3 linked regions of the Neurospora crassa OR74A genome follow. The protein of the gene in region 2 purifies or fractionates together with the protein of the main gene of each other region. This does not show direct contact. Links are inferred from orthologs where the notes say so. Each region holds a gene or a part of one and is shown on either strand. Other genes may lie near its edges.

Region 1 (3,991 bases), on a different chromosome or scaffold from region 2:
TCCACGCTCTGTTCCTGGAACGCATGAAGAATGCCATCGATAAGGCGTTCTTCCAGACGCTCGCCAATATCGGCAGCACCGAGAGAGGCCACAATCTTTTCAACCGTCTCCACCGTCATCTTGCGGTAGGCTTCGCTCTCGTCCTTTAGGTTGGCTACGATCCTTTCCAGAATCTCGCTGACACCAACCTTTTGGCCAATGTCGACAGTGGTCTCAACGACCTGTCGGTAGTTGCGCTTATCCAGAGCCATACGCCGTACCCAAAAGCTCTTGAAGAACTCGTCCAGCACATGCTCCTTTAGGTACCCAGCCGTTACTCCATCGGTGGCGGCGCACTGTGAAATCACCTTTAGCACAACCTTCTTCATCTCTTCATCAGGAGAGGCAAATTCTCGTAGCAGAATCTCCATAATCTGACTGGTGTAATAGTTGGCATAGTCTTCATCCATAAGCGGGATAATATAACCGACAGCCTTGAGGAAACCCGCCAGACCCTTGCCTCGCTGCTTTCGGGCACCGGTCCAAAGGGGGTTGAGAATATCATCAAAGCTCTCGATACCGTAGGGGTTAGATGCCTCGGCGAGAGCTGCGATGGCCAAACTGGTCACTGTGCGGACCTTGGTCTGTTCATCGTTCAGGTTGGGTCCGATACAGTCAACCAGCTGCTTGAGATGGGGCAAGACTGCGCAGCCCATCAAGATGGGAATCTGCTGGACGATCTTGACACCCGTGTGACGAGCCTGCCACGACTTTTTGCTTCGGCACACAGCTCGCAAGAAGGGGAGCAGAGCTGGGATACCCAGAGCCGAGGCAACGACGGCAAAGGCTCTGGCAGTAGTGTTTCTGACATATTCATCGACGTGATCAATATCTGGACGCATGACACTGATCATTGTGGCAAGACCAGCAGCCTTGCTGAGGTTCGAAATGATTTCCCGACCCTCAACACGGGCATAGTAGTCCTGATCGATAAGAAGGGGTTCGATAACGACGAGAATCTTGTGAACGTATGGTCGAACCATGTCATCGAGCTTGTACAAAATACGATCAATAACCTTGACGAGAAGATGGCGTTCCTGGTCCTCCAATGTTTTCTCCATGAGCAGAGGAAGAATTTGGTTGAAGAGGGGGCCGGCACCAAAGTTGCGAGCATTATCTGTCAATTGTCTGAGCGCAGTCTTTCTCATAGGAGGAGTACCGTTCTTGACCTTCAGCAAGAGCCTCATAATCTTTCTCTCCTTGAGCTCTTCGACACTCAAACTTTCCTCATCTGCTCCGTCGGTGAGCTTGCCGAAGTATGCCATATCTTCGGGCTTGAAGAATTGCAGGTCTCCCACACCGGGAATCTCCTTTGGCACCTGCTGGCCTGTCATCCGTCCGCTGTCGGGGTCCTGCATCATGAAGCCCGTTGTTGGGGCCGGAGCCTGCATCAGCTTGTGTGCCGGTGCTCGCACGGGGGCATACCCTGGTGGCGGCTCAAGAATCTTGTAACCTTGTTCGGGGCCTGGAAGCATCGCGTCCAGCTCTTCGTCGCTGAGTGGTGCGTAGCGACCGGCCGCATCAGCCCCGAAAGCTGGGGGCACGACAGCGGTCTGGGTAGGGTGCATCGGGGTAGCTAGGCCGACATTACCAACAGGAGTGGCAGAAGGCGCCTGGTCCCAGCGGGATCGCTTCTTGGGTTCCGCCCCTGGCGCCCCTGGAGCGGGAACAGATGGTGCTTGATCCCACCTAGACCTCTTCTTGGGCTCTGGTGCCGGGGTAGCATCATCTGTAGAGGCGACATCCCATCTCTTCTTGCGCTTCCGACCAGCCGCAGCTTCAGTAGAGCCAGCCTCCTCGTTCTCCTTGTTACCGGAATCCTGAAGGGTAGGCTGGTGCTCCTCGACCGGACCGCCCTCCTTCATCTTCTGTTCAATGGCGCGCCGTACGCGCTCTTCCTCTCGCTCAAGCTCGCGGCGTTCCATGATTTCCCGGTAACTCTCGCCTTCATCAGTGGCACCTGCTTGGCGGTTGGCAGCAAATGGGTCGGCTCGTGTAGGGGTCAGAACGCGGTCAAATCGGCGCTTCTGGTAGTCGGTCTCCCTGTCGGTGATGCGGTTGCTCTTTTCGCCCCGGCCAGCCAGGGGATCATCCTCCTCGACGCCATCGCCGCGTGCAAACTCATCGATCTGAGCTCGGGTGGCGGTGTACTGTCCTACTAGGCGGCGGCCGGAGTCGGCATCTTCCATCTCTTCGTCGTCGCCATCGGCAGCAGGCAGGGTGGTGTGGTAGCCCGCAAACTTGTCGCCGGTGTTGCGCTCATACAGATCGGTGTCCCATATTTCTCCCAGCTTGGCTTTGGTGCTGTTGTCGGATCGTTGGTTGGCAGGATCAAAGCTGCGCGAACCGCTCTTGGCGGCAGCAGCAGCATTGCGCTCCTGCTGGAGCTTCTTGATCTGCTCAAAATCCGAGTCCGACATGGTGCTGGCCGTATCCTCCTCGTGTCATGTCAGGTCGGGGTCGTCGCAAGAATGTCCAGCGCGCCGCGAGGGTGAATGATGGTATGTGGTCGGGAGGAAACGGGACGTGATGATGTGGCGCTGCCCGTGGGTGGTTGGGTGGGATCGGGTATGGTAACTGACGGGGCAGCTAAATTGACGGTGACAGTTTTGACACTTTGTCGTGTATAACTGAGGCTATCAGCAAGGGAATAGACGGTGGAGGCAGAGGGATGCAGGTCACGGCTGAAGACGGGCGCAGTGGATGCGGTACGGTGCACACGCCTTCCCTGAAATTTTGGCCAGCGACTGGTGACGGGACGTGACCGTGAGAGAGCTGACACGGGCTTGGCAAGGCTGCACCTGAAGTTTCCACTCCAAGTGGCGCTCCAGGTGCATTAGGTAAGCAGTCCAGACCTCGACGCTTTCGATCGCGGTGGGGAGCAGGGGAGCTTCCATCCATTTCCACTTAGCTCATGTGGGGAGGCAGCACTTTCACTTTCCACACCCTCAACTTCCATCCATTTCACCTCTCTCAACCTCGCTTCATCTTCGCTTCGACCAGCATGACATCCCAACCTGCAACGCCGCTACTGTATGTAGAGTTGCTTTCAAATATCCGCCAGATATCGCTGGCCATCTCACTGGGCTCTGCAAGCGATGCGTCAACACGAGTAGTGGTGGCAGCGGATGGAGAGAATGTCGAGCTCACACACCATGGACAGTCACATACACTACATCTACCCGCAAAGGTAGCCCTTGGCGGCGCCATTCTGCCAATACAAAGACCTGGAGCCTCTGCGCTCTCCTGGAGGTTACCGTTGGGTCAAGGAACATACACGGATGCATCATCAGCCGAGTCGTCCACTTGGACAGCCACCGATTTGAAGGCCGGGTCCGAAGTTGTTTGTAGACAATGCCAGGCCGTTGTTGTCAAGCGAGATGTTGTCAAGGTGTGGAAAGACCTCCCGAGTGAGAACTGGGCTGAGATGATGGAGTTTTGGCACTGTCACAAACCTGGTGACCACGATCATGACCATCACCACCACGACAAGTCAAACGGCGTTGATGCCAACGGGCAAAGCGATAGGGCAGATGACATGAGTCTTGCAGCTCGAGGATATGGCGCGAGCTCGGCCATTTCGGCGCAACAAGGTGTTGGGTTTGTTGATCTGACAACGCTGTTATTCGTCGAGCAGGACTGTTCCAACATCACGGTAAGTCCATATGTAGCATGCTCATGACTTGGTCTATTCACCGTCTCGAATGCGTCCATTTGAATCTTAGCAGTCGGGGCATCAAGAAGGTAGCCAAGTCGGCCTCGGCCCCTCAATGGCATGGATACCGATACAAATGCCCAAAATCAAGCAGACTCTGTCCCCTGCTTATGCGGGGCATTGAGTGGTCGACGAACCTGACTTCTGTGATGGGGCGCTTCCAGTCGGTGGATGACAGGCTGAACCCTCCGCATTTCGCCAGATCATTGCCAAGTCCTAAATGCTCTGGGATTAACT
Region 2 (3,245 bases):
TAGTCCAAGACCTCTTAGAACCTTGCGGTGATGATTTTTACAGATACTTCCGAGTCACCGGTCCAACCAGATCCGACAACCCTTGCTTGTTGCAGGGCTTGCGAATTTGCTGGGCTCCGTGTCGTCGTGGTTTTGGTTTTGTTGCAGGATCGAAGCCCTTCCCGGGGCTCGGCTCGCTTGCCTCTCCTTGCTAGTGCAGTTGTCTTTTTTTTGCAATTCTAATTGCTCTCGACAATGATGTACAAAAGGCAGATCTGAGCTTGGTTAAAGGGGGTCTTTGGATGGGTTCGGACTTTGGAAGCATGCACTACAGGCAAGATGGGAGAAAGCTGTTAGTGCAGCGCTCCTCACCTTTGTTTACTTACGTAGTCGAGATAGCATATTCTACTGTATATAAGCAATTTCACCATGAGGATCATTACTTCACTGCCAGAATTATACGAGCTACAATGGTAAACCCACCCATATGGCCTGCTTCGCTAGAAAGACAGCATGCAAACAAACTCCATATTTAAAGATAAAGTGGTAAGTGGCTGAAGAGCCGACAGCATGCAAGTCACCTCACGTTATCACATAATGAAGATAATCGATACACTCACGTTTCATGAAAGAAGGCGATAATGGGCGTAATGTCCGCTCATCGGGTCTGTTTCATATGTCAGCTAGGAGGAACACGCAACTCCAAGACTGTATATACATATCCTTACAACAACAATCTCGAGGTCCCTTCTGCCGGTGATTTTGGTATCGTTCTCAAGTCCCGGTTTTGTCTGATATCTCCGTCCGTACCGAACGTCCCAATCTCCTATGCCGTTGCGAGCGGTTTGGATCCATTTTCCCGATACCCGCTCAACGGCGATCGTCGTGCTTCGGATGGGCCGTCCGCCCAAAGCTTCTTCGGACTTTATATGATGCCGATTCAGATCGCCGTTGGACGAAGGCCAATGACCGGATCATGATCTGGTCCTCAACACAATTTCTGGGGATTGTGTATTCCCCCTTCCACCTTCTTTCTACCAGTAAGCCCTCCTGCAAAAGTTACGTGACTTTGTGGGGACGTCCGAGAAGCCGAATTGGGGCTGAACATGACCCAAATAATGACAGGAAACTCCGTAAACGCCAAGCATATTTTCCCGATCCCCGATCAAATCCGAACGTGGGTGTAGAATAACCGTTCATCTGAAGCAATACCAGAAGAGTAAAACAAATCACCTCCTCCCCGTCAACCCAGGCGCCGCATTGAAGCGCTCCTCGCGCTCCGTCATGAACATGATCTGCACCCAGTACTCCTTGCTATCCGGGTCCCAAAACTCAAACTGCTTATCCTCGCGCTTGTCCAGCTCGCGCGCCGGGATCTTGAACCCACATGTCTCGTACGGCTCCGCGGCGACCAGGAGGTACTGGTAGTTCCTGTCCGGTTCCTCGACCCTTTGGCTGAAGGCGCTCATGACCTGCCACTTGGGTGTGACGCCCGGGGCAATATCCGGGTACTGCAGCTGGAACAGCAATCCCTGCTGGCGGGTGATGGGGTCGCGCACTTTCGTGATCTTGTATCCGGGGCGACCAATCTTGACCACGTTCTTGCGCACGCCGCCGGCGCCCAGTCCCAAAGCGGCGAAACCCGCGCCGACGACGCCGACGGGGAGACCCGTCTGCGGATCGACTTCGCCTTTGCCTTCTTTTTGCTCGCGGGCGGCACGGCGAGCGAGGTTTGTTTGATGCTTCTTGCCTTGGGTGTGGGCGAGGTAGGAGCCGTCGTTCTGGTGCACCGTCAAACACAGACGGCATTCGAAGGAGCCGAGATGGTTACGGAAAATGTAAGGGTCCTTGTCGAGATCGATGGTCTCGAGAGCGAGCTTGCGCAGACGCTCGCGACGGTCGGCGTTGGTGGCGGAGTGGGAGGCTACGCCGCCGCCGCCGAATTTAGAGCCCGCGCGGTTCTGGTAATCCATGTTGCTTTCGTTTCGTATCTCTTATTATCAGACTAGATCGTGTGGAATTTGAGGGGGTGAATGTATGTGTGTCGTGTCAGCAATGTGGTCGAGATAAGGCGATGGACCGTGGGTGAGGTTATGGGTTTCGATGATGGATGATATCAGGTGTAATTGATGGGACAGGTGTGGACTCCCCAAGACGCGCCGTGGAAAAGTCGAGACAGGCGTTCAGGCGAAGAGACTGAGCGTTCTGATTGGTCAGCTGATGGCAGCTGCCAACCTTCTGCAAGTGTTAGCGACAATGCAGGAGGTTTGAGTTGACATCGATTAGTACAGAGCAAAGTTATGGCCTGATGAGGCTGTGGGATGTATTTCTGTTGTCAAAATGTGGCCCAGTCGTCTATTCGATATCTGAAGAGCGCGCATTTCCCTTCGTCACCGTCACTTGAACTTGACAGAGCTGTTTTGACATGGTGTATAGGGTCATGGCCGTTATCGTTTCCATCATACCACAACGTCGAACAATTTCATGTAGTAGGAAAGAGTATTTAACTGTATCTTCAATATCTACTTTGGACGGCTACCTACTGTCACCCGGAATAACAATTACTACTCGGCATCGTGGGGTTCGTTTTATCGTGGCCGATGCCGCTGAGTTTGTGGGCGCTTGCCGTCTCAATACCGGAATCGCGCTGGAAGGTGCATTGTAAACCTCGGGATCCGGCGGCTGGACTCCCGGGATTGCGGGGAAGGAACAGGAACGGCTTCCGTTATTCTCCACCGATCGCCGGTATAGAGTAGCATTCATGTCATCCTGTCTTGGCTGAAGCTCCCATGGGCCTAGTTACTAGCTTATGACCGTTTGTTTCTCCATGTTTTGTGATAGCCTCTATACAATATGATGCGCCGCAGTTTGTTCAAGGCCATCCGTGCTTCGGCGCTGCGCCGTTCTATCCCGGCGACAACTCGTCGTTGCTTTGCCAGCTCCTCAGTCCGTTTCGCGGATGGAACACTTCCACTTGAGGGCTACCGTGTGCTAGACATGACCAGAGTGCTGGCTGGGGTAAGAAGACAACTCACCCTCACACAGGGACGAGCTGACATGCTCTTCCATCCAGCCTTACTGTACACAAATTCTCGGAGATCTCGGGTGAGTCCATCGACCCCAAAGTGCGCGAGCGCCAGCTGAGACCCTTTGAGCGCAGAAGTGATCAAGATCGAGCATCCCGTAAGAGGCGACGATACTCGAGCATGGGGACCACCGTATGCCAGCTACAAGTCCGGTTCGTCCATGGAGGGACCGGGTGAATC
Region 3 (3,518 bases), about 2.6 Mb from region 2:
GCCGCGGTCGTTTTGGCGCCTGGACCGGTTATGGGAGGACTGGCAGCTCCCGAGGGGGTTATGCTATCTTTGGAGCAGGGACAAGTGGGTGATCATGGAGATGAGCGGGATAGGATGGCGATGCTGCCGAATGCCAAGAAGCAAAAGGGGTCCGGCGGGTTGCAGCAAACGTCCATCTTGATGTCTATGAATGGGGGGTTGCCTGCTGGTACAGGAAGCGGTGCTAGTGGAAGCATTGGAGGGCTGGCGGCGCCGGTGAATGGACTCGGTGCTGGCGGGGTTAATACCGGTATTACCAATATGGGTGTCACGACGGGTGTGGTGGGCATGTCGTCGGCTTCGGGACGACCATTTAGTTCTACTCCTGGTGTGATGAGCGGCATGAATAGGGGTATCTTGTCGGCATCACCGCCAGCTACTACGTCGGACGAGGATCCCAGCGCGCAGTTGCAGATGGAGATGAGGCAGGCGGCGTCACAGCAGTATCGGGGTCATGATGGGGATGTGGATATGACGGGTTAGTTGAGTGACTGTCCATACATACAGAGCCGAATAGACGTGTTGAATATCCGGGCGAGTACAAGACGTTAAGAGGTGTAGAGTTGCCGAATCAAAGACCATGGGCCCTTGATATGCTCGTCCTAACGTCCCTTTCCTCAAGGCCGCTCCGATTGCTGCGGTGAAATCATGACACCACTATCATGTTTCACTATCTCTGTTTCAACCCAGCAAATTTGCGCAATTTGGTATACAGTTATTTTGCAGTAAGCCCCATCTAGAACCGAACGCCGACAAATGGTAAGCTCTTTGAAGTGCCGTCCTCCCCCTTTTCGTCACCTCTGCAAGCCATCATATCACGAACATATAGCAACCTGATCTACCACGTTCGTCAGGTGCCCGTCACCTTGGTTCCTCCTTACTCCTCCATGGCATCGTCATCCTCGGCGATAATGCCAGGTGGCAGCCGTCCCTCGTTGAGCGCCTTCTCCAATCTGATGATTTCCTCCAAGCTGTCGGCCTTCTTGATCAGATCCTGCAACTTCTTCTTCTCTTTCTCTGTGAGCTTGAGACGCGAAAGTTTCGAGGAAGGACCACTGCCGGCCGCACCGTTGGCGGAGCTGGCGCCAACGTCAAAGGTCTTGCTCTTGATTCCCTTTATCTGTTTGCATGTTAGCAGGGTTGTCATGACATTGAAAAAGAAGACAAGGTACATACCGTCTTGGCCAACTCCGTCGGCTCATCAGCGGTTCCAAACAGCTCCTTCGCCTTCTGCCTCTCGGCGTCCTTGACCTTGACGTAATCGAGAAAGCGAACCTGAGGGCACAGCCAGAGGACCCAGTAGCGGTAGTTCTGTGTGTCGACAAACATTGTCAGCCATTCCGTACATTCATTCCATTTGCCACCCCCGTCTCCGATTCTCTCTCAGCCGCATAACACTGGGCGACGAAAGGGCGTTGTGTGACGTACCTCCTTCTTGGTAACGGGGTTGTCCGTCAAGACCAAGTGCGTAAGCCTTGGAAACCTTCCCAACACCTCCAAATCCGCCAGCTCGCCAATATTATTGGACGCCAGGACGAGGTTCTTCAGGTTCGGGGTCGCATTCGGTAGGGTCGACTGGATCTGGGCGATCCTGTTGCGGGCGAGCAGGAGGGTGCGTATGCGGGGAGAGAGCGGGAAGTTGCCCAGCACTTGGATATCGTTGTCGGTGAAATCAATGGCATCGTGGGGCTGTAGTAGCGACCGGATTAGCAAACTGCATTAATTGGTAATTTGGTTGAAACGGGCTACCAGTAGCAGGACTAGCAGTAGAGGAAGAACCAGGAGAAGGGAGAAACTTACCCCAGCAACGCCCAAGTTCTCAATAGCAGGTATTCTGTGTCCTATTGCATGTATCCCAACCCAACATAGGTTTTCGATATATCAACTCTGTTCTTTGTACGCGCTTTTGGAAACTTGAAGATCAACCGTGCAGTATCTGCTCTTCTCGATGGAACGCACCTCGGAGGTCTATCTCTCGCTCCTTAAGCGGATTGAGATAGGAAAGGGAGTTGTTGATAAGGTCTGCCGTCAGCCTCATTGTGACGACGGGAGTGCAACGACGACGGGGAGCTGTCGAGCTGTCGCTGCTACTACTACTGCGATGCCGGTCGGTACCTTGTGATGGTTGTTGCTGGTGGTGCTTTTGTAATACGGCGGCGCAAAGGGGCTTTGCAAACAGGTGATTAATTATTGATTACAGCCAGGAGAATTGCCGTATGTCCTGTGTTCGCCTTCGAGATTGAAATTGATGGAAGTCAACTAAAGAAGCAAAAGGTTGAAGCGCGTCGCGTGGTTCGTAATTGGTGGCTGTAGTGAAGTTACCAAAGTAGATTGACAAGGCTGCCTGCCCCAATGAAGTCATGGACAGCGCCGCAAAAAAAAAACGGACGATGTAGTAACCCTAACCCTTGCGCGTCGGATTACTTGCAAGTCGCAACCACACGGAGCTCCTAAACAGAGTCGACACGGTTTGTGTCTGAAAGACTAGGGTACTAGAGTCAGATATTATATGTTCATTTTCTGCCCTCTTGTTGGCCTAAAATGTTTCTTACTCGCTATCTCGCCAGGTTGCTGTCAAGTTTTCGTTCTACTTCTTGGTGTAAACGCTTTCACAACCACTAACCGCCCGCTATGGAAAAACCAAAACCACTTTCATCACACTCGCTCTTTAGTCCAGATCCCCAACCCGGCATCATCTAAAGAACCTGCAGCTGTAACTTTAGGGCTTGTTTCGTTATGATGCACACTATTGTGCAATTCCATTGTAACGTCACCAACAATGCTATCCCTACATCGTCTAACCGGACGTCGAATGACGCCTTCCATGCTACTCAAACCAGAAGCCAAAGTCACTGACACAATAAGCTTGCTATGTAACGCATCACGCAAGTTCCATGTCCATTACCTGGTATCACACACACACAGAATTTGCCCGACCTTGAACCAGAAGCGGGATTTAGTATGCGAATCCACACCTCTCGTCCTTTTATGCTGATAATTTGGTGCCCAAGGGTCGTGCCACTCACTCACTACTCGACGATAAGCCCCTCCAAAGCTTCCATCGCTCTGGCACCCTGCTTCTCAAACAGCAGGACCATCTCCTCGCATTCCCTCTTCAATCTCTGCTCAGCCAAGTTGGCATTATGATAGATCCACTCCTCCACGGTCATCCGCTTTTCCGGGCTCGTGAGCTCACTGCCCTTGTGCAAGAGTTTGTCAATGCCGTCTTCCTTATCGTAGTCGTTCTTGTTGGGCGAGAATATATTGTCTAGATCTGCCGCGGTCCAAGGCTTAGTGCTTTGAAGGGCACCCAGAATCGTCCGTTTGGAAGGAGAAGTGGGCCTGTCCGGTGTGGTAGCCATTGGTGCTAGAGCATGACGTTCGACTATTGGGGTCATTTGCTTCGGCGATGGGGGTCGGTTCTCTGCATTCGAGGATTGCATTGAAGGCGAGCGGTAGACGCTTGGCTGTTCTTGAGG

Evidence for each region. The genes of interacting proteins can lie anywhere in the genome.
Region 1: the proteins of NCU07299 (region 2) and NCU03042 purify together in Saccharomyces cerevisiae (affinity purification with mass spectrometry; 3 studies listed by BioGRID). This does not show direct contact. The link is inferred for Neurospora crassa OR74A from reciprocal best matches to the Saccharomyces cerevisiae genes PRP11 and HSH155.
Region 3: the proteins of NCU07299 (region 2) and NCU06622 purify together in Saccharomyces cerevisiae (affinity purification with mass spectrometry; 4 studies listed by BioGRID, with this or other methods). This does not show direct contact. The link is inferred for Neurospora crassa OR74A from reciprocal best matches to the Saccharomyces cerevisiae genes PRP11 and LEA1.

What each region holds. Positions count from the first base shown.
Region 1 is NC_026501.1:8,343,984-8,347,974, forward strand, and holds the start of NCU03042 (U2 snRNP component prp10), read right to left. Parts: upstream 2,801-3,991; 5' UTR 2,460-2,800; coding exon 1-2,459. Other genes in the region: NCU03041 (hypothetical protein), read left to right, coding at 3,044-3,694. UniProt on the Saccharomyces cerevisiae protein: Contacts pre-mRNA on both sides of the branch site early in spliceosome assembly.
Region 2 is NC_026504.1:4,474,537-4,477,781, forward strand, and holds NCU07299 (splicing factor 3a subunit 2), read right to left. Parts: upstream 2,117-3,245; 5' UTR 1,953-2,116; coding exon 1,209-1,952; 3' UTR 501-1,208; downstream 1-500. Other genes in the region: NCU07298 (CAIB/BAIF family enzyme), read left to right, coding at 2,833-2,997, 3,053-3,084, 3,135-3,245. UniProt on the Saccharomyces cerevisiae protein: mRNA splicing factors, PRP9, PRP11, and PRP21, are necessary for addition of the U2 snRNP to the pre-mRNA in an early step of spliceosome assembly.
Region 3 is NC_026504.1:1,833,621-1,837,138, reverse strand, and holds NCU06622 (U2 small nuclear ribonucleoprotein A'), read right to left. Parts: upstream 2,377-3,518; 5' UTR 2,078-2,376; coding exon 1,999-2,077; intron 1,881-1,998; coding exon 1,840-1,880; intron 1,729-1,839; coding exon 1,468-1,728; intron 1,351-1,467; coding exon 1,216-1,350; intron 1,160-1,215; coding exon 917-1,159; 3' UTR 523-916; downstream 1-522. Other genes in the region: NCU06623 (hypothetical protein), read left to right, coding at 1-522; NCU06621 (hypothetical protein), read right to left, coding at 3,069-3,518. UniProt on the Saccharomyces cerevisiae protein: Involved in pre-mRNA splicing. Associates to U2 snRNA in a MSL1 dependent manner and is required for normal accumulation of U2 snRNA. Required for the spliceosome assembly and the efficient addition of U2 snRNP onto the pre-mRNA.